Mytilus edulis: one gene and its partner. The protein of the gene in region 1 interacts with the protein of each later gene in a pairwise test. Links are inferred from orthologs where the notes say so. Each region holds a gene or a part of one and is shown on either strand. Other genes may lie near its edges. The genes, in order: general transcription factor IIE subunit 1-like and transcription initiation factor IIE subunit beta-like.

Evidence for each region.
Region 2: the proteins of general transcription factor IIE subunit 1-like (region 1) and transcription initiation factor IIE subunit beta-like interact in a two-hybrid assay, tested with the Drosophila melanogaster proteins (2 studies listed by BioGRID). The link is inferred for Mytilus edulis from reciprocal best matches to the Drosophila melanogaster genes TfIIEalpha and TfIIEbeta.

Annotation. Positions count from the first base shown.
Region 1 is NC_092353.1:68,917,569-68,933,758, forward strand, and holds the start of general transcription factor IIE subunit 1-like, read left to right. Parts: upstream 1-8,253; 5' UTR 8,254-8,353; exon of another isoform or gene 8,354-8,440; intron 8,441-13,742; 5' UTR 13,743-13,782; coding exon 13,783-14,426; intron 14,427-16,190.
Region 2 is NC_092344.1:17,765,751-17,782,784, reverse strand, and holds the start of transcription initiation factor IIE subunit beta-like, read right to left. Parts: upstream 6,996-17,034; 5' UTR 6,897-6,995; intron 1-6,896.

The DNA of each region.
Region 1 (16,190 bases):
AGACTTATACTCAATATTTATTACCACACAACTCAGATCAAGTACACATTTGTGCAGCGTCAATTTAGCCGTTCTTCTGTTATGTCCCTTTATAATTTTATAGAATCAAGCAAGGCATCATCTGTGTATTTATGAATGGGTCGTAAATAATCGGTTATGCGTTTAGAAGTACATTAAATATGTTCGACGTACAATGAGTATGCCGGTTTCCAAGCCCTTCAAGTAACCCGATGTTTTCGGTGCTTTATTATAACACGACATATATGTACCTCCAACAGACAAAACCTCAAACAAAATATTGCTTTACATGCAAAACTCACTATTTGGAAATTCTCTGTACAGACGATGTATAAAATAACTGAAAAGGCACGATATAACCTGGACACCCACTTCTTTTATGAATGTGACCTGTTATCTATTTCTTGCATGCACATTTAATTCTTGTGTCACACTGCCCGGAATGTGATACGAAATCTGCATTAATTTGATTGGCTTATCCAGCATCACACGATATAACGGCATTTTAATTGGCTATTTGTTTGGTTATTGATGAATTTTAAACGTTCCCTTTCATGAATGTGACCTACCGAATTACACTATTTACTGGATGTGTTATAATATTAGCAACACGACGGGTGCCACATATGGAGCAATATCTGCTTACCCTCCCGGAGTACCTGAGATCACCCCTAGTTTTTGGTGGGGTTCGTTTTGCTTATTCTTTAGTTTTCTATGTTGTGTCATGTGTACAATTGTTTGTCTGTTTGTCTTTTTATCATTTTTAGTCATGGCGTTGTCAGTTTCGATTTATGAGTTTGACTCTCCCTCTGGTATCTTTCGTCTCTCTTTTATAGGGAACCACTAAAGGTAGGTCACTGATATTTGGTATGCAGATGTTTAAGCATTTGCTGATACCATTTCCAGGGAGATTTTTTTGCTACGCCCCCCCCCCCCCCTTAGTTTGTGATTAGGTCTGTTCAAGGGGAATCATTAGAGATAGGCCAATGGTATTTAGTATTCAGTTGTATAAGCACTAGCACAGCTCTTTCCATGGAGATATTCGGCCCCGCCACCCTAGTCACGGTCTATTGACTTTGAAACATTTTCTTTATATCCTAGGCATATATTACCTTAACCGCATGTGGCACAACTTTTTGGAATTTAGGGTCCTCAATGCTCTTCAACTTTGTAACTAGTTTGAACTGAGCTTCACTAATGAGTCAGATGTAGACGAAACGCACGTCTGGCGTTTTAAATAATAATCCTGTACCTTTGATAACCATTTGCGATGAACTGCTAATGTAAAGTCCGTGATATTTGGTATGCAAACTTTATTGGAATTTGTAAGTCTTATTTCCTTGGAGATTATAAAGCCCAACCCCTCATCATAGGGCATAGACATTGCATTGTTTACATGGTTTACAAGTAATTTTTTTGTTTAGGTTTGTTCAAGGTCAAGTAACAGTAAATGAACGCCGTCTACCGGATTCCGCGAAATATTGCGACGTTTTGTACGAATTACGTCCCTTTGACTATATTTTCCATTGTTGCAACCGGCGACATTCCGACGGGACAATAGTTAATTTGATGGAAAGTATGCAACTCCTAGGAGAATGAACTTGTTTGCTAATATTGAAGATGAAGAAATACTACAGGATTTGAAAATGAATATGAAAAAAATCATGAAGAAGATTTTCAAAATGAAAATCACGAACCTGCTGACTGGTATATTCGGTTCCTAATAAAAAGAACATTCAGTGGATCCTTAAAGGAATTTTGTAGTATTGATTCATATGGTTGTCTCCTCAAAGGAAATTGTTCTAGGCTATAACTTGAAGGTCTATATCATACTTCTACTATATATCTTCTAAAATCTACTTAAAAAAATATATACACACACTTTCTGTACCTAAAGTTACATGAAAATCCCGTAAGTCAATACTTCAATAGGACAACAACCAGACAACATCACCAGGCAAAAAATGGAAATCAAAAAGAAAAGACATCGATGATGATATGCATGTGTGCAGAAGTACTATAACAAAACAAACAATTTCCAGTCGTGTCCCAGTCTGTGTTTTTGTTGATTTTTTACGGGGATCATTCTGGTAGGCAACTTAAATTATAAATATGTACATCTGTTTTTATGTAATGTCTCAACCTCCGTATGTTTAGATTTCTTGTAAATGTTTTACACGTTGTACCATCTGGAAAATACACTGAAAGCGAAATTCAGAGACAAAAGCACATTAGTTTATTGTCACATATCATAAGATCGAAAAGGGGGTTGCACAATAAAGGATACTGGCGAATGTAAAAATTGAACAAAAGAACTAAAAGTTTGCAAAATTATAATTAAAAACAAAGAAAAATGAAATTATAAATTTAATACAATACTGATCACAGACAAGAACCATGTACTGAACAGATTAAAGAAATAATTCAATGAAAGAAGAATTTTACAATATAATTTTTGTTGAGATTTGCTTACCCTTCCGGAACAGCTAATTTCAATCCCGGTTTTTAGTGGAGTTCGTGTTGTTTCTTAATTATCATTTATAACTGTTGATGTAAATATCCTTTGGTTTTGCGAGTCTTTGTCTACTCCTTGGTTTTGATTGTTATTGTCCTTCACAGAATAAGCGTTAGGGACGACATAAAAAGAGACAGTGAAAAAAACTATATGAAATAAGTTTTAGGCATTTAATATTCAGGCACACAATTCATGTATACCCTTATATACATGTCAATTTTCGTCAACTAAACGGAAAATGGCATAGCTTTCGAAGTCTCTACGTGGATTGAAATTAAAACATAATAATATTTGTGCTGAAAATTAAACAATGTTTAAATCCATTGAAATGACAAGTAAGCAGCCATGATATATTTGAACTACTCTCAGTGTAATGTGTTCTTTTTAAGTTATTGAAAACTTTTCTTGATACTTAAAATATTGACACAGGGAATAACAAATATATACACAATAGGTTATTATAGGAATGTCGTTTGTTTGCTGAAAAAACACGTCCTCTAAACGTTATAAAATTTGGAATCAAGATGTTAGTTAATTTTCAAATGAAAATTAATAATTTCACTCATGTATCCGAGGTATTGCATCCAGTTTTTGTTTTTTGTTTTACATAAAGGCAACAGTAGTATACCGCTGTTCAAAACTCATAAATCCATGGACAAAATACAAAATCGGGGTAACAAACTAAAACCGAGGGAAACGCATTAAATATAAGAGGAGAACAACGACACAACACTAAAATGTAACACACACAGAAACGGACCAAGCATCAGACAAAATCCCACGAGAATAACAAATATAACATCAAAACCAAATACAGGAATTTGGGATAGACAAGTACCGTGACACAGTCTTATCGCAATGTGAAATTACACTAAAAAATAAGAGAAAACAAACGACGCAACGTAAAAATGTAACACACACAGAAACGAACAATAATATAACAATGGCCATATTCCTGACTTGGTACAGGACATTTTTAAAGGAAAAAATGGTGGGTTGAACCTGGTTTTGTGGCATGCCAAACCTCGCACTTTAATTGCTATGTTAAATATAACATTGAAATGACAACATAATATTACTGGACTACAATACAAATAAATAGGAGAACGTATTAGACAAAGAAATACATGATTAATGGATAACCAAAAACATCAGGTTTAAATTCATTACGCCAAAAACGCGCCTCGTCCACACAAGACTTACTAGTGACGTCCAGATATAAAAGATCGAAAGTGAAAAAAAGTACAACTTTAGATCAAAAGTTGAAAAAGGTTGTGTCAAATACGGCTATGTTTTTATGCTTGGGATAAGAACATCCTTATTATTTAGAACAATTAATGCTATACAATAGTTTCCTATCCCTCCTTAAAATCAAATCAATAACATTATATTGTAAAGTATGCAATACCACCATAAACAAATCAAACGAGCAAATCATTTCGGTTAATATTCTTTCCAGGTGCACATTAATGGATGACTGTCCTATGACAAATATATATAAAAAAAAAAAAGCTTCCTGCACTCGAGGTGAGCCGCTAACACTAAATCAACTTGGGGGTTAAATCATAACTGTGTTTAAAAAAATAGGGAGCAAATGGTCGAAGTCATATAATAATTTTCAAAACACAATGATACTGTTGTATGCAGTTAACAGCATATGATGGCAAACACTTTTTTTTATATCAGAAGTTGCTTAAGTTAAACTGTGAGCTAATGCTCACAAATGTTAAATGTTAAAAATTTTCGATTTGAATATTGATATATATCTAAGATAGCTGCATAGTTTGATGAAAATCCAAGTTGGTTTGAAAAAGTTAAAAAAATTAAAGATGCCTATCTGAATTTTTATATAATAATTTTTTTAGCTCACCTGGCCTAAAAGGCCTTGTGAGCTTTTCTCATCACTTGGCGTCCGTCGTCGTCGTCGTCGTCTGTCGTCGTTAACAATTTTTCAAACATCTTCTCCTCTGAAACTACTGAATGGATTTGAATGAAACTTAACATGATTGTTCCTTAGTATATCCTGCACAAAATGTGCGCTTCGATTTTTGATCCGTCAAAAAACATGGCCGCCGTTACTTAAAATAGAACATAGGGGTCAAATGCAGTTTTTGGCTTATATCTCAAAAACGAAAGCATTTAGAGCAAATCTGACATGGGATAAAAATGTTCATTAGGTCAAGATCTATCAGCCCTGAAATTTTCAGATGAATCAAACAAACCATTGTTGGGTTGCTGCCACTTAATTGGTAATTTTAAGGAAATTTTGCAGTTTTTGGTCATTATCTTGAATATTATTATAGATAAAGATAAACTGTAAACAGCAAAAAAGATCAGCAAAGTAAGATCTACAAATAAGTTAATATGACCAAAATTGTCAATTGACCCCTTAAGGGGTTATTGTCCTTTAATGACAATTTTTCACAATTTGTTCATCATATTTGCTAACTTTAAAAAATCTTCTTCTCTGAAACTACTGAATGGATTTGGTTAAAACTTAGCATGGTTGTTCCTTAGATTATCCTGCACAAAGTGTGTGCTTTGATTTTTGATCCGTCAAAAAACATGGCCGCCGTTACTTAAAATAGAACATAGGGGTCAAATGCAGTTTTTGGCTTATATCTCAAAAACGAAAGCATTAAGAGCAAATCTGACACGGAGTAAAAATGTTCATTAGGTCAATATCTATCAGCCCTGAAATTTTCAGATGAATCAAACATCCAATTGTTGGGTTGCTGCCACTTAATTGGTAATTTTAAGGAAATTTTGCAGTTTTTGGTCATTATCTTGAATATTATTATAGATAAAGCTAAACTGTAAACAGCAAAAAAGATCAGCAAAGTAAGATCTACAAATAAGTTAATATGACCAAAATTGTCAATTGACCCCTTAAGGGGTTATTGTCCTTTAATGACAATTTTTCACAATTTGTTCATCATATTTGCTAACTTTAAAAAAATCTTCTTCTCTGAAACTACTGAATGGATTTGGTTAAAACTTAGCATGGTTGTTCCTTAGATTATCCTGCACAAAGTGTGTGCTTTGATTTTTGATCCGTCAAAAAACATGGCCGCCGTTACTTAAAATAGAACATAGGGGTCAAATGCAGTTTTTGGCTTATATCTCAAAAACGAAAGCATTAAGAGCAAATCTGACATGGAGTAAAAATGTTCATTAGGTCAATATCTATCAGCCCTGAAATTTTCAGATGAATCAAACATCCAATTGTTGGGTTGCTGCCACTTAATTGGTAATTTTAAGGAAATTTTGCAGTTTTTGGTCATTATCTTGAATATTATTATAGATAAAGATAAACTGTAAGCAGCAAAAAAGATCAGCAAAGTAAGATCTACAAATAAGTTAATATGACCAAAATTGTCAATTGACCCCTTAAGGGGTTATTGTCCTTTAATGACAATTTTTCACAATTTGTTCATCATATTTGCTAACTTTAAATAATCTTCTCCTCTGAAACTACTGAATGGATTTGGTTAAAACTTAGCATGGTTGTTCCTTAGATTATCCTGCACAAAGTGTGTGCTTTGATTTTTGATCCGTCAAAAAACATGGCCGCCGTTACTTAAAATAGAACATAGGGGTCAAATGCAGTTTTTGGCTTATATCTCAAAAACGAAAGCATTAAGAGCAAATCTGACACGGAGTAAAAATGTTCATTAGGTCAATATCTATCAGCCCTGAAATTTTCAGATGAATCAAACATCCAATTGTTGGGTTGCTGCCACTTAATTGGTAATTTTAAGGAAATTTTGCAGTTTTTGGTCATTATCTTGAATATTATTATAGATAAAGCTAAACTGTAAACAGCAAAAAAGATCAGCAAAGTAAGATCTACAAATAAGTTAATATGACCAAAATTGTCAATTGACCCCTTAAGGGGTTATTGTCCTTTAATGACAATTTTTCACAATTTGTTCATCATATTTGCTAACTTTAAAAAATCTTCTCCTCTGAAACTACTGAATGGATTTGGTTAAAACTTAGCATGGTTGTTCCTTAGATTATCCTGCACAAAGTGTGTGCTTTGATTTTTGATCCGTCAAAAAACATGGCCGCCGTTACTTAAAATAGAACATAGGGGTCAAATGCAGTTTTTGGCTTATATCTCAAAAACGAAAGCATTAAGAGCAAATCTGACATGGAGTAAAAATGTTCATTAGGTCAATATCTATCAGCCCTGAAATTTTCAGATGAATCAAACATCCAATTGTTGGGTTGCTGCCACTTAATTGGTAATTTTAAGGAAATTTTGCAGTTTTTGGTCATTATCTTGAATATTATTATAGATAAAGATAAACTGTAAACAGCAAATATGATCAGCAAAGTAAGAGCTACAAATAAGTCAATTTGACCAAAATTGTCAATTGACCTCTTTAGGAGTTATTGCCCTTTAAAGACTTTTTTCACAATTTGTTCATCATGTTGACTTACTTTAAAAAATCTTCTCTTATGAAACTGCTGTATCAATTTCAGCCAAACTTAGGCTAAATGAGTTTCAGAGTTTCAGAGTATCTAGTATAAATTTTATATTTCATTTCCTTGTATGTCAAGAAACATAGCTCCTATGGCTAAAATAGAACATAGGAGAAAATGATTTTTTTTTGCTTTTGAAGAAAATAGGACGATTCAAAGAACATTTAAATAAATTGAAAAGCCAAAATAATCATTGATGAGAGATTAAACCAAAAAAATTCAGGTGAGCGATTCAGGCTCTTGAGAGCCTCTTGTTTTACATATTGTAAATTATACCCGGTTATTTCAAGTTTTGTTATAAATGTTAATAAAAATTATTTCAAAGTAATCGTTTGAAAAAAAAATTGTGTCCTATGGATATTATCTGTGAAAAAAGTGATGTCCCAACAAAAGCGATTCCAGAAAAAAGTATCTGTCCTACTGCACTTTGCACCGGTCCTATGTGACGATAAATTTTGACCAGTCCCTAAGATCATGGAACGCAAGATAATTTTTTATCGAGGACCATGAATTTCAATATTGTTGAAAGCTCAACAGACATGTATATAACTAAAACAGGGACTTTAAATACAGTCTAGTATATACTTAGTATAGAAATTCCCTGCTACAACGATTGGTGGTGTCAGTTTAGCTGCTAAGGAATGGACCATAATGTTCTCGTACGATCGGGAGAAGCGGTTAAAACAGCTGATTCAGCCGGTAACGAATTCCCGATATCATAAAAGATTCACAATTTAAAGGGAACTCCCTCTGCTCAATTGAGTCCCTAAATAAATGTGAATAGTTAAGTTTTATTCAAAAATATGTGTTCTGAAACGGTTCACTTTCGATCACAAATTCGGAAAATGACGCATATCACGTATCATGATAACACTGTTAAAACTGTAAACTTGTGTTGTTTATAAAATAAATTCAAGTTCTTGGCGTACATACCGATATTGTCAATATGCACATTATTACTTAAAAAAAAAGTTTTGGTGTAGAAAATTCAGGGGAGGCCTCCCCTGCCTCATAGGTAGTTACGGCCCTGACAGGGTAAACGTAATACTGGCTGTTACATAATAAATGATATTAACTCTCTTGTCGCTACAATTGTTTTCTTTTGCATATTCTTTAATATTTATTGGAGTAAGTAATTTTAATTAAAAAAAATATGTTTTCTTGTCGCTTCTTGTCGCTTTTTGACGCTTCTTGTCGCTAAAATTCTTCTTGTCGCTAATTAGTGAGACCGAATTCCGAACTTGTTTTAATTTTATGTATAATAATTTGTTTCCGGTACAAGAAAATTGTCAAACATAAAGAACCTAGGCGCCAAATTAAACCTAAATAGTATGTTAGCGTATGTCTGAGGTACAGAAATGATGATAGAAACGTAGCTTAGGAATAGATAGAATCCTCCATGGTATTGTTAAAAATGTAAATTATACCTTTTCTTGACATAAGATGATATGACCAAGTGTTGCCTTGCAAATGCCTTTTTCAGTTTTTGGTCCCCAAGATGAAGTTGCCCAAGGAACAGCCAATTGTTTCTATCAATGCGGATGGGATCAGACCTATAATCCGACAGTCCCATAATCCGACAGTCCGGTAGTCCGACAGTCCTTTAATCCAATAGTCTGACAGTCCTATAATCCGACAGCCCGATAGTCCGACGCACAGTCACTTGTCTCTGAAAAGTATGCCTATATAGACATGGAACATTTGTAAATTGGTATATTATTTTCACACAACAAATTAACAAATCAGTCAGTATGACGTCTTGTACAGGACCGCAATAATCCCATACAATTGGAAATGAACGGAATCCGGGTCCGTTCACCTTAAAACGTGATCGCTCTCATTCAAATTCGCCCCCTTTCACTTTCATACCCTACACGTTCTTACCAAAAGTCTGTTTGCACCCTATACGTTTGCTTTTGTTTATTATGAAAACAATGATAAACATATTTATAGCAATACTATTACTGCCCAATTAATATACTAACCAAAACTCGATTTTTTTTCATTATTTCATATTAAATTGACATTCTAAAAACATTTTTTTTGTGATGATGGTTTGGTTAGAGACTTGCAATGACTATATATTTTTTTCATTGTTTCAAAATAAAGACAATGAAAGAGGCATTCTGGCAACGGTTTTGTGTTGAATAAATCTAAATCATGTTTTGGTTAGTGTATTTGTATTGCTATAAAAAAAATCATTGTTTCTTAATAAAGTGCCTTTCTTATTTCGTGCTGTCATTTTGGGGATACGATTGCTTTCAAGCAATCTGTAGACTTTAATATACCGGTGGCTCAGAGCATTGCCCTCACGTCAATCGTTTTATTCTAAACATTAAGGAACATCTCAGATTCTTATGATTGTCTTACTTTAAAAGGTAAAAACAAACAAAGGGATTGAACTTAAACAACTTTCTTATAATGTTCTTTTCATAATCTTCATGTTTGATAATTCCCTTGACTTATATGTGTGTTTTAAACAACACGGAAAATCAGAATAAAGCAGTATTTATATTTAGTATTTTTATAAATTTAGAAACACGTCAGAGGGAAATCCCAGTTTTGATATATAAAATGCGAGAGTTCTCTGAATTCCGATAAATCTATTTCTGTCATTTAAGAACTGAAGTGGAGTTTTTCTTATATGTTACCGTTATGAAACTGATATTTGAGATTGTTCTTCCATAAAGAAATAGAGAACCATCTAGGTCGTTTAATAAACATTTAATATACGTTCTTGCTCCAGGGTTTGTTTTGGAAATTATGCGCATGCGTATAGTTTTCTTGACTTCAAGGGGTTTTAGATTGAATGGTTGCTCTGGATTCTACACTCAATTGATTAATTTATAACTCATGAGATTTTTTCTATGTATGTCTGCTATTGAAGGTTATTGTTGTTGCATAATTTTGAATCATTTATGCATCATTTAAATAAAAAAAAAAGGAATCCTTATTGTAGAACACCCCTTCCGTGAATTCTGAATCAAAACATACCGTCGAGTATTAGCTCGTTCTGTCAATAAATGTCGTATTATATTAAAAACGATCGCATTTTAAACCGATAAATGTGTACGGAAAGGAGTCATGATCACTGACCCAAAGGAAATTAAATATTTAAAGAGTTAGGAATGGGGTTCCTCCTAGAATTAACGTAGGAAAATAGGTGATAAGATACGAATTGAAATACCTTCTCTCAGTCTGAGTCTCAGTGAGTGCTGTGGAAAGTAAACTTGGAATTGATAGTACAAAAATAAAACATAGGCCTGATTACATTGTTCATACACTTTTATCCGTGATTGGCTATTTTGTAACTATTTTAAATGTGCAGTTGAATTAGTTTTGAAAATAATATTAATCAGCTACATGTATACATGTGTCAATGAAACAAAGGCAATCGTATCCCTCAGAGCAATCTGCTCTTTGATTAAAACTTCAGCACTGCAGTCGTAGGTCTTAACCGCTATATATATAGATCTGCTTTGTTTGCGTACTGTCTTCATGTCATTGCCCATCTTCATTCCAATCTCAGGTGCCTTGGAAGGGTAAGCAGATCCTGCTCCACATGTGGCACCCGTCGTGTTGCTTTTGTTATAACAAATTCCAGTAAATAGTCTAATTCAGTAGGTCATATTCATGAAAGGGTAATGAAGTTGTAATTTTCCATGAGAGTGCATCAATGTGAGAGCGAGCGTGACAATACATGATTTTCCAAGTACAGGTTCATAAAACAGAGGTGAGCTATTCTCATTCACCAAATGTTCTTTTGTAAGTTGTTAAGCATAACAAGATATTAATTTCCAGTTGTGAGCGGGCGATTCATGTCCTTCAAAATACGAGTTCATACAACGGAGTGAGCAAGCCAATTATCTTGTCCAAGCTTTTAAGAATGAATAAAATCAATTGCGTTGTGAGAGTGGGCGAGGCGATGATCCTTCAAAATAGGAGTTCATACAACAGTGAGCAAGCCAATTCTCATTCACCAAAAGTTCTCTTGTCCAAATTGTTAAGCATCAGCAGTAATGAAGTTCTAGTTATGAGAGCGGATGAGTAGATAAATATCTTTCAAAATACGAGTTCCTACAACGGGGGTGAGTGAGCCAATTCTCATTCACCAAACATTTTCTTGTATGTATAGATAGAAATAAATAAATAATACCTGGCGAGGCAATATTTGTATTGCAAAAATCGAGTTGTTACAAAGAATAATAGCAAGTTGTTAGAGAAGACAGTTCAAGAAAGAATGCAATTTTAATCTCTCAGTGTTTGTAGAAACTCTTCAACACTAAATTTGCTCCTTTCTTGACAAGTACAGGGTTTTTATCACTCTGCACAACATTTACAGGAAAGACACCGACAATGCTGCAAATCGCATCTCTTCGCATTTCTTTGTATCTGATGTATCTTCTTTGAAGCTGTCTACAGTCAATGAATTTACAATTTGACGTCTGACATTTTGTCTGATACAAGTGCTGGTCATTTTTATGATATCGCGTATACATTTGCCGGTGGTTTTGAGCAACAAAGTAAAGCTATCATAATAAGATAAAACTGAATCCATCTCTGCCATCCCTAGCGCATCTGTCAGCTTCTTGCCAATAGGACAACACTGATTTTGGACATTTAATTATTAAACTTTTCATGCATATGTTGTTCTCGCAATTTTACCATTGTTTTGTTGTGTGTTATGCGATGTCTCATTGAAGGGCTTTACATGTAAATATTAACATTGTTTAAATATGACAGGAAAAAAATAAGTTTTTTGAAAATAGTACATGAAGTCGTTTAAAATAAGAAAAAGAAAGGGAAAAGTGGCCGCCAGCTTAACAGCACAAGAAACATGAAATATATTGTAATGCATAAATGCAAATCATATTGGTTTGCGTAATTTGTGTAATATTCATAACATTTGAATCACTTTTTAATTACAAAATACTTATAGAATCACATTTTACCGTTTATTGATTTACATTTGACCCCAGACTCTGCATATGATCGGTGAGCTATGCATTAACTGTATAACTGTATATAGATATATATTGTATTAAGATAATCTTTTTTACAAAGCTTGGGTAGAACTTTATACAAACAAAGCAAGTGAGCCGACCAAAGCTTTACTCTTCAAGCAATGGCATTATGAAATTAGCACTAATCAAAATTGTAAGGAGATGTGGTATGGAAGCCAACGAGACAAAACAATGTTACATTAACAAGAGTTTAAATGAAGTTGATGTAAGCAGTTTATACAACATGGCCTACCGCGAGAGGAAAAAAACGCCGTTATGACCATCATGAAAAACCCCGCTGTAATGGCAAAGCCCCAACATGAAAAAAAACCTGTAAAGCAAGTAAATCGAGAAAGCGAACTACCTTGTTCATGTATGTAATGATTGTCACCGTTTCCAGCTTTGACCATTATTTTCATGACACAGCAAAGTTATTTTCAATATAAAGATAAGTAAATAAAGAGTCAACAAAAAGACACATTTTATTTTTATGGGCTGGCATACAAGATTGGAATATGTTGCCAATTAATGTTAAAAAAAATAAAGAAAATAAAGGAATTCAAAATTAACGTCAAAGAGCTCTTGACCAAAAGTTTTAATCATAATTTTATATAAATTATTTTTATATGAATTTTTTTGTCATCTGGTCATATTAATTTGTGTGTTATCTTTTTTTGTATGTCAAAACTAAAAGCCCTTTACATGTAGGGACCCCATTGGAAACAAGCTTTAGAGCTTTCATGGGTTATCCCTGATAAAATATCAGCAAATTTTTTCATACACTTAAGGATACTGCCAATATATTTTACCATATATATGTGTTAGTATTGTCTTTATGTATCATATATATTTTGTTACTGTATAGTAATTATAAATATGCTTGATATTTATTTGAATAAAATATTATTATTTTAAAATCGACTGAATTTGATGAATCCGGTCATTTTTTTTCTCCAAAAATAACAGTAACGATAATTATCTTAGACCTCTTACTAATTAGGCTAAAGGTATTTTGATGAAAACTGGTAAATTTTTAACCAATTTGACGCTAACAGTAACCTAAAATGACTGTTTGACGCCTGAATGTAAAGGCATAACATGAAGTATGATGTACTACCCTCCTTCAACTTGGCACTTTCCTCACACAAGTGATCTAATCAGGCCCGTAGCCAGGGGGGTTCGTTGGACTCATGAACTCGACTTTAACAGTCACAATTTGAACCAAACGTTGACTTTAACAGTGCTTATTTGATTTCAAGGCTACGGGTATGCTGATTTAACGTCCCAATTCTGACTGGACATGACTGCTTTAAATTTCTTGTACATCACATAAGGCAAAACAGACACCCTACTTTGCCAAGGGTTTAACTGACAGTTGGAGGAAGACAAATTATTTTTATAATTTAGAATTTCTCAAGTTATGCTTAGCATGCTTAGCCTTAGGTCCCTTTTTTAACACATCAAATATCAATGGGTTGCGATTTCTCCAATGTAATATGTCAATGGGTCGATAATTTTCATCTTTCAATTAGATTATTGTATAAATGCTGGCATGGCTGTTATGTCGTTTAAAATCAAGTCAAGATGTATCCAAAAACCCATGTTGAGACCCCCATGCTTCATACAGACATTTTCCAAAGGAAATTGTAGGTTAAACCTCACTGGAATCAATTGATTTTTTAATTCTGTTAATTTCTTTCGGCTTTTACTTTCAGAAGCACATGTATAACTGACAGCCATCCATTTTAGTGCAAGATGGAACCAGAAGTGTTGACAGAAGTACCAGAGTCGTTAAAACGTTTGATAAGACTCGTAACACGTGGTTTCTATAGTATAGAGCACGCCATTGTTATTGACTTATTGGTACGTAATCCATGTATGAAGGAAGATGACATCATCGAACTATTGAAGTATGATAGGAAACAGTTAAGGTCTTATATAAACACTCTCAAAAGTGAGAAATTTTTGAAATTTCGTATGAGAGTGGAGACAGATACGGAAGGTAAAATGACACGCCATAATTATTATTTTATCAATTATTTAATGTTTGTAAACGTTGTCAAATACAAACTAGATCATGTGCGACGGAAAATTGAAATGGAGGAGAGAGACAATACTAGTCGAGCTTCGTTTAAATGCCCCGGATGTGAGAAAACTTTCACTGATTTGGAAGTGGACCAGTTATTTGATTTGAGTACGCAAAAGTTTATCTGTACATACTGTAGTGAAGAGGTTGTAGAAGACGAAAGTGCTGTTATGCAAAAAGATGCTCGAACATTACTGGCAAAATTTAATGAACAAATTGAACCTATTTATGTTCTACTCAGAGAGTGTGATGGTATATCTTTATCACAAGATATCCTTGAACCTGAACCAACTGATCTGAAGCACACTTCAAGGTATGTTGCAAATAGTCAAATATTAGTTTATTTCTATCTTTAGGTCTGGTCATTGCATTGTCAATGGTGTTTTAAGCTAAGCTCAGTTTTATGTTTCAGACAAATCATAGGTCCAGATATATAGAACTTTTAAGAAATACTGCCTTCATGTATATGTACATGTATATGCTAATAGAAATTGAAATATCTGGATAGCTAATAATTGTTTGTAGAATTCAGAAGATAACAAAAGGGGGGGGGAGGGGGGGTAGTGGCATTGTATATAATTTACCTAATGTAATGATGCTGTGTTTTGAATGCATGAGATAATTTGTATTATTACAAGTTTTCTAAATAGTGAGATTTTCTTTTTTCTGCCAATGTATTTGTCATGGCAGAAACAGTGCCCTCTGGTTTGCAATAAGGGTATGTTAAATATTCAGACGAAGCCAGAGTAAGGTATAGTTTGACATAAACTGATCATGAGTGTCACTTATTATAAACAAAACAAACATTTAAATCTGAAATTTGAGGGCACATGTTCCACAAATATATAGGATTGAAATATCTTACAGTCCTAGTTTACACTTTGAAGGATTTTTTATGCCCCTGCCACAGCAGAGCCAGATGGCCCCGGGTCATTAAGCATGTTATGAGTAACCTTGTCTGTTTGTTCCAAAGTTAGTTTCTGATCTCTTAAGTTTTAGTTTGCCTATAACTCAATGTTATTAAACTTGTACACTATGCGTATAACCACAAAACACAGATCAGGTTTGAATTTTGGTTGTGTCACTTGTTCTTGCGTTATGTCCCTTTATAATATTATATGCATATGCAATCTAAATCTCATGGACACATTGTCCATTTATTTCAATTCCAATAAGAAATCATCAAGGAAACTTGGATAATAATCCTGCATGAATAGTTGATATGGACAATGTATCAATCTATAAGGATCCAGAAACACCATAAAACAAAAATGTCAGATTTTTTAGTTTAATGAGTATTGCCAGAGTTATCTCTCTTTGTCAGAAACATCAAACATTTTATACTGTATATACACATGATAGATACATGTATCTAATAACACATTTATTTTGGCAACTCATTTCGTTTGTGCTACTGTGGTATATAAAATTGATATAAAAGTCAACCAGGTTACATCATTCCATCTTGATGGGTAGATGGGGGTCTGGATGGGGTCCTCCATTTCTCTCTTTTTGTTAAAGTAATTTTTCTCTTTTGTTAAATTTTAGCACCCGATTTATGATTATTCTATATTTTATTTTTTTTGGACAATTTTTCTGCTGCATTGGCCTATTATTCTCTATCTTATAAATCTCACTAAGATCCTCATAGGTACATGTACAATGTATGCTAGTGAGTGCACATGTGATGTTCTGCTTTGAATAAAATGAAAGATAGAGGAAATTTGAACAAACAAGGTATAAATTATTACAGGGCTATTCCTGTTGTGACAGTGCCTTGTTGACATGTTTACAAGGAAAAGCTACATAGCCATGATAGCTATGCTATTTTGTTTGACACAGTACATATATATTTTTTGAAAATACTACATTGTACTAAACAGGATTTTATTGTTATTGTTATACAATGTAATTAGACTAATCAATCACAATCAAAATTCAAAATCGGTCTAATATGAAAATCTTAATAGTTCTTCATTTATTTGTTTTATTTTATACAGCATTTGTCCATTATTCTCTATTTTGTAAATCTTACTAGACCTTCATACATATGCTAGTGGGTGGGATGTTCGAATTT
Region 2 (17,034 bases), on another chromosome or scaffold:
GTATTAGTGTAGCTTTAAATATAGAATACTAATGATCCAGGGACTAATTATGTTTCTAAACTTATCAGAACCAACATCTGTGTTGTCTAGGATGACCAGGTCATTTCAGGTGATGACCTTGTACTGAATCTAGGATAATGACATAAAAATCACTTGTTTAAGTATCAGACCTCAATTTCCTTCCCAAAAATCACTTCTTTAAGTATCATTCTTTTAATAACCCCCACAAATTTCAACACCCCCGAACAGTGAAATTTTTATCGCGAACAGTAGAATTTTATTACATAATCTGAAAGATGAAACCTTGAACTTCACAGGAAAAATACTCCCACTGCTGTGAAAAATCTTTGAAGAAAGTATCAGTTCATTATGTAAAGCCATTATTATAGCATTTTTTCAACTAAAATAGAATTTTCAAGTAAATGATAGCATCAAAGGCATAAACTTTGCAACTTAAAAGAAGCAAAAAGTTCATATTTTTTAATATTACTAATTAAAAGATGTTATTTAAACCTATGTGTTTAAAATTTTGAAAACACAACAAAATCCCAATTTGTGACAAAACCTCGAATTTGCTACTCAAATAAGTGATTTAAAAATCACTTATTTCAGTAAGTCCCCTGACTGTCTATTTTTAGCCATGTCTGCCATGTTGGTTGGCAGACAGGGTCTCGGACACATTTTAAAAAACTAAATACCCTTTAATATGCTTATTTGTGGCCAAGTATGGTTAAATTTGTCTCAGTTGTTTTAGAAGAAGACTTTTGTAAAAGATTACAAAAATTTGCGAAAAATTGTTAAATTTGACTTTAAAGGGGAATAACTCCTTATGTGGTCAATTGACCATTTTGGTCATGTTGACTTATTTGTAGATCTTACTTTGCTGAACATTATTTCTGTATCTATAATAATATTCAAAATAATAGCCAAAAGCAAAAAAAATTTGTCCGATTTGTCTGAAAATTTCAGGACAAATATATCTTAACCTGATAAACATTTTAACCCCGCCGCATTTTTGCGCCTGTCCTAAGTCAGGAGCCTCTGGCCTTTGTTAGTCTTGTATTATATTAATTTTAGTTTCTTGAGTACAATTTGGAAATTAGTATGGCATTCATTATCACTGAACTAGTATATATTTGTTTAGGGGCCAGCTGAGGGACGCCTCCGGGTGCGTGAATTTCTCGCTACATTGAAGACCTGCTAGTGACCTTCTGCTGTTGTTTTTTCCTATGGTCGGGTTGTTGTCTCTTTGACACATTCCCCATTTCCATTCTCAATTTTATTACCAACATTAAAATTGCTTTAATGCTTTAGTTTCAGAGATATTAGTCAAAAACTGCATTTTACGACTCTGTTCTATTTTAATTATGTCGGCCATGTTGGTTGGCAGGTGCATTCATCAGACATATTTTTTTTAAACAAGATACCCTAATAATTATAATTTTCCGCGTTTCGCAGTATAGAGGAAAATTATTGTACTAACGTTCCGTCTGATTAATCATGTGATTATCACATGTTTACATGTACATGTAATAAATGAGCGGGAAATAATCCCGTGGAGTAATCACTCTCTACCCAACACTGATACAGTCAAGATGGACACCGATATGTTGAGCAGCCCTTTAAGAAATGCCATTTCGAGAGAAGTTTCCAATGCCATATCAACATCTCAACAGGATTTATTGAACAGTATAAACGGTATAATGGACAGTAAACTGACAAGTTTGCAGACCACCTTACAAGAAAGTCAACAAGAAATTTCGCAGACTCAAATGGCCAAGATGGAGGAAACTCTGACCGATAACTATAATTTTCAGAGGAAGGGCAACGAAAACCAATTCAAGTATGGTGTGAAGGTTCTAACAAAGCTGAAAGAGGCGAAGTCAAGCTTAGAAGTTCATGATTTGACCAGAGCGACCGTACAGAATGCTAAATCCAGGATTTCAGAAGGTATTGACATTGTGCAAGAGAGACAAAAGTTAATTAAACTTGCAGATTCTTCTCAACTCGGTTGGAAAGTGGTTAATGAGTATGTTGCCAACCCAATAGCAGAAGACTCCGAAGATGAGAGAAAAATGTTAAGAGCTCAGTCTAGAGCAGAGCGCAAGAGTAAAGCAGAGAAAACCAAGAAAAGCATCAAACCCAGACAAGTTCCTTATGCCAGGAATGCAGATAAAGATGATTCTTTCAAGCCTGGAAAGTGTTTCAATTGTGGAAAAAGGGGGCACTGGGCAGATAATTGTCCTGATAGAAAACAAAAGATAAGTAATTCTTTATATTTATCAAACTTAGATAGTTCAAGCTTATTTTGTAGCTCAGATGATAATTTTTATTGCAATAATTCCAAAATAAGAAACGCCAATGAGAAGGTTTCAATAACAATTGATTGTTTACAAAAAGTTGATCTTGTTACTTATGTGGAAAAACCGGTTAGTCCAGTAGGTAGATTGAAAAATGCTATCGATGAATGGAGATTAATCACAGGTAATACACATATAATTGATGTTATACAAAACGGGTATAAGATACCTTTCAAAACAGAACCAGATCATAAAATTATTAGAAATAACAGATCATCTCTTGATAACGCAAGTTTTGTTAAGTCAGAAATTGAAACTTTGCTGTCAAAAGGTTGTATATCAGAAGTGAATGATATACCTTGTGTAGTTAATCCTTTGACCGTTGCTTTTAATAAATCGAGCAAACCCAGGTTGGTATTGGATTGTAGACACATCAATCCTCATTTATTTAAATTTAGATTTAAATATGAAGACACAAAGTTAGCAAGGGAAATTTTTCACCAACATGATTTTCTATATGGCTATGATTTAAAAAGTGCTTATCACCATATTGAGATTGTTGAATTGCACAGAGAATATTTAGGTTTTGCATGGGAGATAGATGGTGCAAACAGATATTTCGTTTTTAATGTCTTGCCATTTGGATTGGCCACTGCTGGTTACATATTTACCAAAGTTCTCAGAGAAGTTGTAAAGTATTTCAGATCTAAAGGCGAACAAATTATTATGTTTTTAGATGATGGTTTGGGAGGTGGTAAAGATTTTGAATCTTGTCAAAAAAGTAGTCAGTTTGTAAAATTTCACCTTCAAAAGCTAGGTTTTCTAATTGCACATGAAAAATGTGTTTGGGATCCATGCCAAAAATTGAAATGGTTAGGTTTCATTTGGAATACTGAAACTGGTAGAATATTCGTCAGTCCTGAGAGAATAGATAAAGCAGAGCAAACTGTAAACTATATACTTTCCGAGATTGGGAGAGGTAAAGTTTTGTTAAAGGCTCGAATTTTAGCGGGCATAGTCGGTCAACTCATATCAATGCAAATAGTATTTGGTGATCTCGTGAGATTGAGAACAAGATTTTTATATGCTTGTGTTAACGGTAGAGCAAGCTGGGAGGCATCTGTAAAAATTACATCAGAAGCTATTGATGAGTTAGAATTTTGGAGAGTTTCTTGCAGAGCAAGGAATAGTAAAGGTGTGAATATAAGCACAGTTAATTTTCACGACAATTTTGATGTCGATTTGTTTTGTGATGCCTCAGATGTAGGCTTTGGTGGTTTTTGTTCCACTTATGATCGTACCGAAGTATTCGGTAACTGGGTAGGTAATGAACCTTTTGAGAGTTCAACTTGGCGTGAACTTGAATGCGTCAAGAGAGTTTTGTATACTCAAGATTCGTTGTTGGAGAACAAATTAGTTCGAGTCAACAGTGACAATCAAAATGTCGCACGTATTTTGACGGTGGGGAGCAGAAATTTGTCACTACAAAAAACTGCGATTAATATTTTAGAATCTTGTGAACAGAAAAACATTAATATTCAGACTCGCTGGGTCCCTCGGGCTCAGAATGTGTATGCAGATCAACTTAGTCGTTATACAGATCACGATGACTGGTCTTTAAACGATGAAACATTCAGTTTCTTAAACTATATTTGGGGTCCGTGTAGCATAGACCGATTTGCCACTCATTACAATACACATTGTTCGCGTTTCAATTCAGTTATATGGTGCCCAGGAACTGAAGCAGTTGACAGTTTTAGTCAATATTGGGGAAATGACAACAATTGGTTGGTACCCCCACCTTCTTTGATTGCAAAAACAGTAAACAAAATGTGCAATGAGCGTGCTAATGGTATTTTGGTTATACCAGAATGGAAATCGGCGGCATTTTGGCCTTTACTTTGTGCACAAGAAATTTTTAAGAGTTTTGTTTCAGACGCTATTTATCTTACAAATGACAAAGTTATAGTGAAGGGTGCCGGTAAAAACGGCATTTTCGGGAAATGGCCACTTAAATTTAGGTTGATAGCTTTAAATATTATGTTCTAATGATCCATATTTGCGATTTTCAGGCTTAGGACTGAGGCAACATGTTGTGGAGATTGTAGAGAAGAGTACTGTAGGATGTTCGGTTGAACTTGGAAAATTAGCAGAAAAGATGTCGGTTTATCTTATCCAGTCTAAAAGTGACAATACTACAAAAAAGTACTTTGCTAGTTATAATCGTTGGATATCTTTTGCTCAAGGATATGGTTTTAAAGAATTACCAGCAGATCCGATTCATGTTTCATTGTTTTTAACTTTATTGATTGACAAGAAGTCATCACCTTGTACTTTAGATTCGATAATTTATGCTTTAAAGTGGGTACATGAGCTTTATGGTTACGTTGATCCTACAAATAACGCTTACATTCATTCGTTAGCTCAATCATGTAAAAGATTAAATGGAAAACCAGTCGTAAAGAAGGACCCTGTTACCTCGGATATAATACTTGAACTCTGTAAAATTAATGAATTTGAAAATGACTTGCTTATTGTTAGAGATTTGACTATGATTTTGATAGGCTATGCTGGATTTTTGCGCTTTGACGAATTAAGTTCTATTACATGTAGGGATGTTAAGATTTTTGATGATCATATTTCTATTTTTCTGCCCCGGTCCAAGACCGATCAATACAGACAAGGTAACGAGATACTTATTTCTAGGGGTAACACTTTGGCATGTCCAGTTGTTATGTATAAGCGATACATTTCACTTGCTAGTTTGGATGTTAATTCGGATTATTTTATATTTCGACCGATTTTTAGGTCTAAGGGGTTAGCTAAGTTGATATATAAGAATAAGAAGTTAAGCTATACAGCCACAAAAGAGAATATTGTACGTAGATTAAAGACTGTAGCTCCTGACTTGAACCTAGGTTTGCATTCTTTACGTTCTGGTGGTGCTTCTGCAGCAGCCAGGTCAGAAGTAAATGAGAGATGTATTAAACGTCATGGAAGGTGGAAATCAGATATTAGCAAAGATGGTTACATTGCTGATTCCTTAGATATGAGATTATCAGTATCTAGAAAACTTGGTTTATAATTTGGGCTCTTTTCATCCCTTTCTTTGTGATCTCTAGATTACGTTGGGCAGTCGGCAAATATATATTTGGTTATTGTATTAATATTATGTATTATAGTGAGATTTATGGTATAAATTGCAATGAGATTACATCAGTAAAGTGTGTACTTATAATTTTCCGCGTTTCGCAGTATAGAGGAAAATTATTGTACTAACGTTCCGTCTGATTAATCATGTGATTATCACATGTTTACATGTACATGTAATAAATGAGCGGGAAATAATCCCGTGGAGTAATCACTCTCTACCCAACACTGATACAGTCAAGTTTCTTAACGATATTTGTATATATCGTTTCTCATTAATATTTCATATCTAGATCTTAATTGGGTTTTTATTATGTTTGTGCAATGTATTATTGTTTCATGTTTCACTTTATATCATTTTTTTGTTTTATGTCATATCTTTAAGTATACTGTCCAAGTATGACTCCGGAAACGGTCTTTCGAGCATATTAACTTTCGACTAAGTTAGGGTTTGGACACAGGTTTCCAACGCCGTCTATCGACATAGTTGGTTTTTCCTGGCCGGCGGGATCGTTAAGGATGGAGAAATTTTGATGATTTATAATTATTAATTACAACTCAGTATGTTATGCTGTATGGTTATATCACACATGCTGTTATATTTCACATGTCATGTTTATTTATTTGTAATAAATTCGGTGTCCTCTAGATTACGTTGGGCAGTCGGCAAATATATATTTGGTTATTGTATTAATATTATGTATTATAGTGAGATTTATGGTATAAATTGCAATGAGATTACATCAGTAAAGTGTGTACTGATTATTACCAAGTTTAGCTATATTTGTCTCAATAGTTTCATAGGAGAAGATCTTTGTACGATTACAACTTTTACCATAACCAACCCAGGATAAAAAAGGGGGGGGGGGGGTGTTCCAGCTATATGTCCCCATTCAAATGCCCAGAACCCCCCCACCCCATCCCCTGGATCCGCCAATGCATAAACTATAGTCATGATTCACTGCATGATAGTGAAAAGGTGTATTGAAAAAAAAGGCCAGAAAGTAGTGTTAGTAATAAAACCATGACATCTTCTAATGTTATCTCTTATGGGCTGCTGTGTGTGGAACAATTTTCTTATTTTGCCGCCTTGAAAAATAGCTACGGACACATTATCTGTGTACAGGTACAGGTAGTCTAAAACGACTTTAAAGGCTGACAACTGATTGCGACAATGCCTTACTGCTACTAAGGCATCAAAGCAAAAAAAATATGACAGCATTTCAACTTTTCAAGACGTGATAATTCTTTGGAATAATTTTACCATGTTTACCGGCTGCTTATGGTAATTTTTTTTCAATTTCTTTAATTTATACCACAATAATCGATGTGACGCTTCAGATGATTGAAAAGTCTAATTTTTTTTTGTGAAATGTAGCTTGTTATTCTACAAATCAAGTATTAAAAGATTGTTAATAATCAGATTTACTCTCGATATAAATTCACCATTCTTTCTCTGATATCTGCTGTTAACCTTATGATATGTTAAAGGAAGATATACGTCGTCGTAATGACAGGAAACCAGTAAATATTTTAGGAAACCTCAAGTCGATACCGGAACAGAAACGGAAACAGTTTCGTAAACGCAATATCAAAATGAAAAATTCGTGACTTTGCGATACAAGTGGGATATTTTTTTTTCTGTAAAAAAACTCGAAATACCTACTTCTATTTCAACATGTTTTAAAGGGGTGTTTTTTTAATTTCTACATCTACATCTACATCATACGACGATCCATCACTACATTGATGACTACACGTCGGCGCATCGCGGCAGACACTTAATAAAAAGTAACAATCTAATGAGTGCATTAATCAAAAATTTAATTTGTGCAAAAATAACAAAATAAATAAAAATAACTCATTTACATATATGTACAAACAGGGTGGATGACTATTATAATATACTGACTTTGGATCAGTATTTTAAACTGATCCAAAGAGTTTACACTAATGATGTTTTGTGGTAGTGAATTCCAGCAAGAAATTGAATATTTATATACAATTCCTTGATTCCAGAGTACAACTGTGTATGGAAAAAAGCTGTACTTAAAGTAATCTGTTCTGGTGCTGAAAGTTTGATATTGTAGTGAATTGGTGAATATGGTGTTTTTGACTCGCTGTGGTGAGAGGTAAAGGTTTTGGTCTACTGCTATAAGTTGGTGTGTGATCTTATACATCATTGTTACTCGATTGATGTTTCGGCGAGTTTCTAGTGACTTCCATTTAAGATGGTCAATCATGGAAGTGACACTACTGGTGTTATGATACCTGTTGGTGACGTACCGTGCTGCCCTTCTTTGTACCTTTTCAATATTATTTTTTTGTTTTGGGGTGTTAGGGGACCAAACTGAAGAGCAGTATTCAAGGTTTGATCGTACCATAGGTTTATAAGCCAAACTTTTTGTTTCTTCCTGATTAATTTTTAAGTTTCTTCGTAAAAAGACTAATCTTGTTTGCTTTAGCCGTGATGTTGCTTATATGGGTATCCCATGACATGTTGTTGGATAACTTGATACCAAGATATTTTGCTCTGTTGACTGATTCTAAAATGTGGCCTTTAAGTACATAGTTATGTTTGTATGGTGACTGAGATCTTGTTACAGTTAGTGAGTTGCATTTTTCTGGGTGGAATTGCATACCCCAAGTTTGTTCCCATTTGGCTAGGCAGTCTAAGTCAGTTTGTAAGATGGTACAATCATGTTGGTTTTTAATTGTTCTGTACAAAATACAGTCATCTGCGAACAAGCGTGTTTTTATGTTACTGTTGCAGGTAGGTCATTTATGAATATCAGAAAAAGAAGGGGCCCCAAGACCGAGCCTTGAGGCACCCCACTTACCACAGGCATTTGACCATTTAAACTAAAAAAAAATAACATATTTCTCTCTCTTAAATGCCATCATGTTTTAAAATTACTGGAAAAAAAGAAAAACCCGAGTGACTATTTGTCTGGCTGGTCGTATTCTAACAAACAGCTGCACCCCGAGCGCATGATACGCCCGTAGTCTTTTGAAATAAAACTGAAATCCGCTTTTGGAGAAACTGCGCAAAATGTGACCAAAAAATACTACTTTTTTTCTTTTACCAAAAAGCTTAATAAAAATTCAACAACTCAGAAATTAAATAAAGAACCATCACGAAAAAGTATACAGATCTTCAAATTAATATAACTAACACTGGTGTGAAGTTTTATGCAATAATCATAAATAGTTTCTGAGATACGACGCGGCATGTGAAAAAAACACCCACCCCCTGTTTTAGTTTCAAAGTCCTGTAACTCAAAAAGTTTAAATCTTATTTTCACTAAAAAGTATACAGATCGTTTGACCATCATAAGAAACAACTACGTTAAGTTTCATGAAAATTGGATAAGTTGTTCTCAAGTTACGGTGCGCGAACATGTAGGCGACGGACAGACGGACGGACAGATAGACGAACGGACAGATAGACGAACGGACTGACAGACAGACGCCGGACTTTTGTATACCATAAATAAAGTTTTACACTGAATCTATATATTTTCAAACGGCTTTGAGACGAAAACATTATCGAAAAAATAAAGAAAACTGAACTTGCGTTTCAAGTTAAGAAAGGGTCCGGGAAAAGCGCAGAATAGCATGATTTTCATCCTTATTTTCTATAGCTGCTCGGGACCTTCAGTGGCCCAAATTTCTTTGCCGAAAAAAAATCACTTCGATCGCGTTCTGCATGCCTGGCACCTATGTTTAACATTTGTTTTTAAAAAAAAAAAAACTTAGTCACAGCCCAACTTTAATACAGGTTTGTACGTATACAATAATTGCAGTTTAGAAATCAGAAGATTCACTTCCAGAGGATGCATGATGATTAATTCTGATTAAAAGCTACATAATGACTAGATCCTACATGTGCTTCTATTTAAGAATAAAAACATTAATTTAAAAATTGTGTGTTTTAAAGTATTATTAAAACTAATATAGTTGTGAAAATAAACAATCAGTCCGGCCTTGTTTTAATGAAATTCATGCTTCAACAGTCTACAAAAATAAATAACCAAATAACCAAAATCCAGCACCCCCCCCCCCCCCCCCCCCCGAATATTAAATGATCGTCTCCGTCCCCTAATCGAGAAAGACATACAATTTCCTTCATTAAAACTCGTCAATGGCATCACACTTCAGAGTCATTTTCATGTTTAATTTATTGATTGTGTTGATTTGAAATGTAATGAGCATTGGCAAATTTTTGAGAAAAATGTCCAAAACAGTAAAATCTGCTGTTTTAAAAGGAAATACAGGATAAAACAATCACTGGACGAAAAATCCAAATTTTAAAGGTAATCAAAGAGCAAGTCTCCATTTCAATGTTGTCGTTCTATTAATTATTTTGTCCTTATCTATAAATTTGTCCCAAATTCATGTGTAAACTCTGTTAATGTCACATGAAATAATGATTTTTTATAAATTGTCAAGTGTATTATAAAAGTTCAAGTGTCTGGCCTGGGATCGCTGCTCTCAGCGTAAAAGTACAATGTTGACTGTAAGAAAAAAAAAGATTCCGTTTACACAGTGTAGATACTATTCTGAACGCTATCCGGAAGTCGCGATTTTCGAAGCGAGAACTTTTTGGATCACATTTTAAATTTGATGGGTATACTGAAAAAAAAACGGTAAGTTGATCATCTGTACATTGCTTAATGATTAATTCAGCCAACATCGATATTCTCAAATGGTTTAGAATTAAATTCCACACATTCATTATTCGTATCTTTGCCTTAATCAAGAGATTTTCAAGTGCATCACTAAAAAAATCAGTCGGCGAACCTAAACACAATCTTTTTACCCTCTTAGTGTACAAATTAACGTAAAAAACAGACTTAATTAACTAAATGAAGTATATTTCAAGTGGTGTTAAGAGTTTCAACCAGATCTTTGAAGCCAGAAATAAGAAAATTACACTTGTTTGAATTTCTCACTGTACGATCAGTCTCGCTTGTATATTTTAAAACTGTATGATCAGTCTTTGTGTCATTGTATTCTAGTGGTGATTTCAAAGTTATTTACGATACATTAGAAGGTGGCATTTTTCTAAATAACACAAATATATTTAAATACATTCTCATCCTAAAAACTTATGAAACATTTTTTTTTAGCTTAATATGGTGTACTCGACTTACTACATTAAGTATAAGGATGTTTAAATGTTGCTAAAATAAGAGGAAGGTTTGATGTATACTAGTATATAAGTTTCAGAAATATCCTCCGTTATACTTAAAATTGTACAAACACACAGATTTAGTTGTTATATAAAAATGCATGTATTTACACACATTCGAGGCCGTACTTTTAGCCTATAATTGATCACAGTTCCTTCACTTTGTTTAAGATGTAGAGCTGTCTCTCTGACACTCAATTGTACACCACTTTGATAAGCGGGGGGTTATAGTGATAAAGAAGTCCGTCTTTCCGTTCGTCCGTTGGACCGGTACAATATGTTTCGCCGGTTTTGTAAGCGCATCTCCTCATAAATCACTTTATATACATTGGGGGTTCCGGCCATTTTTAAATGGAGAGGGGGTCCAATCCAGGAGAAAAGGGGATTTCAAATATATGTTTCCATACAAATGCATTGATAGTTAAAAAAGGGTTTCAAACTGCCGGATCGCCTTTTTTTGAATCCGTCACTGATATAACTATTAATTAATCTTATTCGGATTCCTTATCATAAATGATAATGACTGTATTGTGCACCGTCTATTTAGAATTTTAGTAAAAATCTTGTATGGGGTTACTTTATATAAGATACGGACATGAACATTGCATTATATGGGGGCACCCATCAGGTATTTCCAACACCTAAACCAATCATTAAAGTTTTCTGAAATTGCTCCATTTTTACTCGATTAATGCATTATGGACCTTCTATTTCTGTAAACTTACCAAAACTATATCACATGAATTAACCCCCTACGCAAAGCTATCTTTATCCATTTTTTGTTATTTTAAAAGAGACAACCTTGATTAATGTTATTATCAATTGGTCAACGGAGGACGGTGTAAATAATCTTTAATCAAAGTACTGAAGTACTGAACATCGGATGACCGCAGGTTCTTGTGGATGGTCAAAAGCACATTTCACAGAAACAGATCACATCTCTATACCTGAAACTGGGGTTAATTTAGAGAGATATTTTTTTCTGATACAAGTTCGTGCTTGGATGAATAAATGACAGGAAATTCAACCTCACCGTAATAACTATTATATTGTAGTGCAAGAAATCAGTATACCTTGGACTATTATACTTATATAATAATAGTCGTAGATATACGGAAGCCCTGGAGTGCCATGCAAAAAAAAAAATTCAACTTGTGCGCACAAGTTACCAACTTGCGCGCACAAGTTACTATCTTGTGCGCACAAGTTACACAACTTGTGCACACGAGTTATAAACTTGTGCGCACGAGTTGTACAACTTGTGCGCACAAGTTGCACGTATTCTTATAGACATGCGCTGTTTTGCTAGAGAGACTATTTATGGAACGCCGTAGCTGCCGAATACAAACGTTTATATACATGAATGCACATACTTTTCAATGTCTGCACATGTTTTTTCTATGCATACACATACTTTGCATATATATGAACATAGTTGACTTTATATGCACTTATTTTTTATATATATATGCACATACTTTTCCTACATATGCACATCGTTTACCTTATATGCACATACTTTTCTATATATCTATTTGAACATAGTTAACCTCATATGCATATACTTTTTTTCTATATATGCACAGACTTATTCTACATAGGAATGTACAAATGTAGTTCTGCATGTGAATACTTTACTCAGTATATATGGACATAGTTTTTCAACGTGAGAATTACAATTCATATTATGCTTTTCTGTTGTTTTTTCAAACTGAACTAAGCCTAAGGGTTCCAGTATCATAAAAAGAATGTGAATTAAGAATTTCTTAATGATGTATGTTGTTCAATTAAGCAACTTTTGAAATCATTTTCATATGAATGCAATACTATTTTGGCATGTATGATGGTATTTTGCTGTTGTCTTCATCTATAGTCACTTGTTTTAATGCCATAACTTTGTATTTTGTATGAGTCGTTTGTATTACATTTTAACACAAGGATTATTATCACTAATGGCGTGTTGAATTCAGTGGTTTTTGTCCTAACAATTCAGTGATAACGGGTCACAAGTTATATTAATGCATTTTAGCTACCGCTTTACAAGCAGAGCCAAATACAATGAACGTTCCAACTATGTATTGGCTTCCGAAGCTACACAAAAGACCTTACAAATATAGATTTGTTTCGTCTTCAAGCCATTGTTACACAACTAAATTGTCTATAATCTTCTTACCAGCACACTTGGTACAATTAAAAACCTGATAATAAATTATTCAAATAAGGCTTTCGAAAATAGTGGAATTAATTACTTTTGGAGTGTCAAGAACTCGTTGGAAGTAGTTGATAAATTGCATGCTTATATTGGTGATTTTGAATCTGTTGAAAATTTTGATTTTTCTACCCTGTATACCACATTGCCTCACATTCTCATTAAGAAAAAATTCACACACCTAATTAAATGGGCATTTAAAAATTCAGAATGTGAATATATATGTTCAAACTCTGTTAGGTCAGTTTTTAGTAGCAATAAACAAAAAAACTATGTCAATTGGACATGCTTTGATACTATATATGCCCTTGAATTTTTACTAGATAACATTTTTGTTCTGGCCTTTGTTAGTCTTGTATTATTTTAATTTTAGTTTCTTGTGTACAATTTGGAAATTAGTATGGCGTTCTTTATCACTGAACTAGAATATATTTGTTTAGTGGCCAGCTGAAGAACGGAATTTCTCGCTACATTGAAGACCTGTTGGTGACCTTCTGCTGTAGTTTTTTTCTACGATCGGGTTGTTGTCTCTTTGACACATTCCCCATTTCCATTCTCAATTTTATTTAGTTTGGTTTCCGCACTCTGTCGTTAATTTGCCTTATCAAAAATTATTGAAATTCACACACAATGTTAATAATCACACAAAGTTAGGCCGAGTTAGAATTTTGGGCAGTACTTTTTTGGACAATTATGCCCCTTTATAACTTGGAAAATTGAAAATTTTAAGCGGGGGCATTCGTGATTTCAAACTTTTTTTTTAAACAGGTTTTATGTTTTATTAGTAAAAACATTAGTAAGAGCCGAATGCACTTTGTCGGTGTCGGAATAATCTATAAACAGTGAATGTAAAATTTCATAGTGAGACAAAGGTATTACTGTCCAGCGATGGCGAAAACTATTTCTATAGAGCTTTGTATTCGGTATTAAGATATAATACCTGGATGCTTCATACTTTGTTTGTAATAGCCTTATATTTCGAAATTTCCGTCTGTCATATGTTGTATGTAATAATGCAGTAGGTCAAATATATATATATATATACAACTCGTCTAAACATCAACCCAACAATGGTAGATCTGTAAATTTGCTTTCGCAAATTTTTGGGTTTTCCCTCGCCGGGATTCGAACCCATGCTACTGTGATATCGTGACACCAAATCGCCTGCACTGCAGCCGTCCCGATAGACCACACGACCACCTGGGCTCTACAATAATAGAGCTTTCGCTGGCCATGTGTTACCTTTCCACGTCAGTTTTAATCTAGCGGCGTACTACAGTACATGATATATAAGGCATGAAGATGTTACTGTTACAGATCAGCTAAATTATCTATAGTAAAGGATCCTACAAATTAATGTAAGATACAGTCACAGAAAATAATTATATTATATATATATAAAACGTCTGAATAGTAGTCAACGATTTTCCCACGAGGGACCTGTATATATATAACTTCCTTAAAATATTAAAAAAAATAAACTGAAATGGTTATGTAACGACTTTTTGTAATTTTGACAATGCAAATGTTGAAACCAAAATAAAAATATGACTTGCAAATGCCAATAAATTTTCAAAGTCAATAGACAATTACTAAGGGGACAGGGCCAAATATTATCTATGGAAATGAGATGTTCTAATACTTATACAACTGCATAAAACATATCATTGAAGCACCACTTGTGGTTCAACATAAACTAGACCTAATCACAAACTAATACATTGCGAAGCCAACGCCGACGCCGTAAAAATAAAATGTATAGTAAACGTATTGAAAAGCTTTAAAAAAGGTGTGAATATCAAATATGATATGACGTGCTGCAGTTCTAAATTATGATTTGTCTGATTTACTCTGCATTTCTTGTTTTGCGTCTACATTTTCAGCATTTGGGGATTAAGGTGAGAGTGCAAAAACAAACAAAAAAGAAATGAAATTTTCCTAGTTATAAAGGAGCAGAACTGTGGTACAGCAGGTGACTTTTGCGTTTTATAGTTTTTTTACCTTTGTGTATGAGCTTTATCAAATTAAGTAGAGGCAAAGTTGAATTAGAGTGCTGCAAAATAAAATGGAAAGATGGAAAGACAGACGGTAAAACGGACGATTAAGGGTAATACATGTATAATGCCCCATACGCCTATCGGCAGGGCATAAAAAAAATTCCCCGTCTTTGGTCCTTTCTATAACACCATAATAATAGAAAACAATTCACATTTTGAGATCTTAGACTATACTGAATACTTTGAAAACACATTAAACTTGGTAAGGAAAATGGCAATTTAAATTAAGTTTTATAAGAATGCATTTTTCAACTTTTGACCCGTTAGTGGTAACAATCCATGTGTTAAAATTTAATACTATAGGTTATACGCTTCGCTACTGAACCCCTACGGATCCATAGAGGGTTAGTAAAATCCATGAATTGTATTCACCCTCTATGGATTTGTAGGGGGTCAGTAGTTAACCGTATAACGAATTTATCGGACGCTGGACTTTTTCTACGGCGTTTTGTTGAAAAATAAACAATGAAACACAACAACATTAATAGATGACGTCGCCATTAACGCGTCATGAACCCCATATGAAACTTACTAACCCCATACGGTCTCATAGGGGGTCACCACGTGACGGCGTTTAACCAATTACAACGTGACAATTCATCTGTGGTCCGATAAAAACAAATCGACTCCTTCAACGTTTTGACATAAAAACCAAGTGACTATAGATAAAGACAACAGCGCCATACCATCATACATACCAAAATAATATTGAATTCATATAAAAATGATTCCAACAGTTGCTTAATTGAACAACATACAACATTATGAAATTCTTAATAAACATTCCTTTTATGATATTGGAACCCTTAGGCTTAGTTCAGTTTGAAAAAAAAACCAGATAACATTAATATGAATTGTAATTCTTACGTTGAAAAACTATGTTCATATATACTGAGAAAAGTATTCACATGCAGAACTACATTTGTACATTCATATGTAGAATAAGAAAAAAGTATATGCATATGAGGTTAAATATGTGCAAATAGATATATAAAAAATGTGCATATATAGAAAAGTATGTGCATATAAGGTAAACGATGTGCATATGTAGGAAAAGTATGTGCATATATATATAAAAAATAAGTGCATATAAAGTCAACTATGTTCATATATATGCAAAGTATGTGTATAAATAGAAAAAAACATGTGCAGACATTGAAAAGTATGTGCATTCATGTATATAAACATATGTTTGTCACATGATTCGGCAGCTACGGCGTTCCATAAAGTAGTCTCTTTAGCCAAACAGCGCATGTCTATAAGATGATACGTGCAACTTGTGCGCACAAGTTGTACAACTCGTGCGCACAAGTTAATAACTCATGCACACAAGTTGTGTAACTCGTGCGCACAAGTTGTGTAACTTGTGCGCACAAGATAGTAACTTGTGCGCGCAAGTTAGTAACTTGTGCGCGCAAGTTAGTAACTTGTGCGCGCAAGTTGGTAACTTGTGCGCACAAGTTGATTTTTTTTTTTTGCATGGCACTCCAGGGCTTCCGTATAGATAATACACTGGTTTGTTGTTATATATATTATTAATATTACAATTGCATGTATATATAATTTTCATCTATTTGTATATGATCATTCTATTCTACTATTAATATAGTGCAGTGCAAGTGCATGGTGGACACTCTTCTGTAAAAAAAAATAAAAGCCTTAAAGGCTGTAAAAGCAATTGCTGCCATGTTAATGTTTATTTTTTTATCTACATATATAAGAATTAAACCTGACAGGACATGGTTGTCTAGTGAAAAGCAAGAAGGTTTTGGCTTTTTATCAATAAAAGACTAAAGCAGGAAATTATTTTTAATATGTTTTATATTTCACAAGGAGACAACAAGTTTACCAGGCTCAAGTTGGGGATAATTATGGATTATCCCCTGGTAGTGTTTGTAACTGGGCAATAATATACAATTATACCGAACTAACATTGGAAAGGCCTTTCGAACACTTCTTTGGACTTTCCACAACAGTCAACACAAACACACAAGCTGAAAATACCTTTAACGGCTTTGTGTTCTAGAATTTCTCGAATGTACAACAAAGGTAGAATCTTTTTGTAAAATATTGGTGGCCCTGAAAAGGACCGTTTATAAGAGACACGGCTGCTGGCACTCTTTT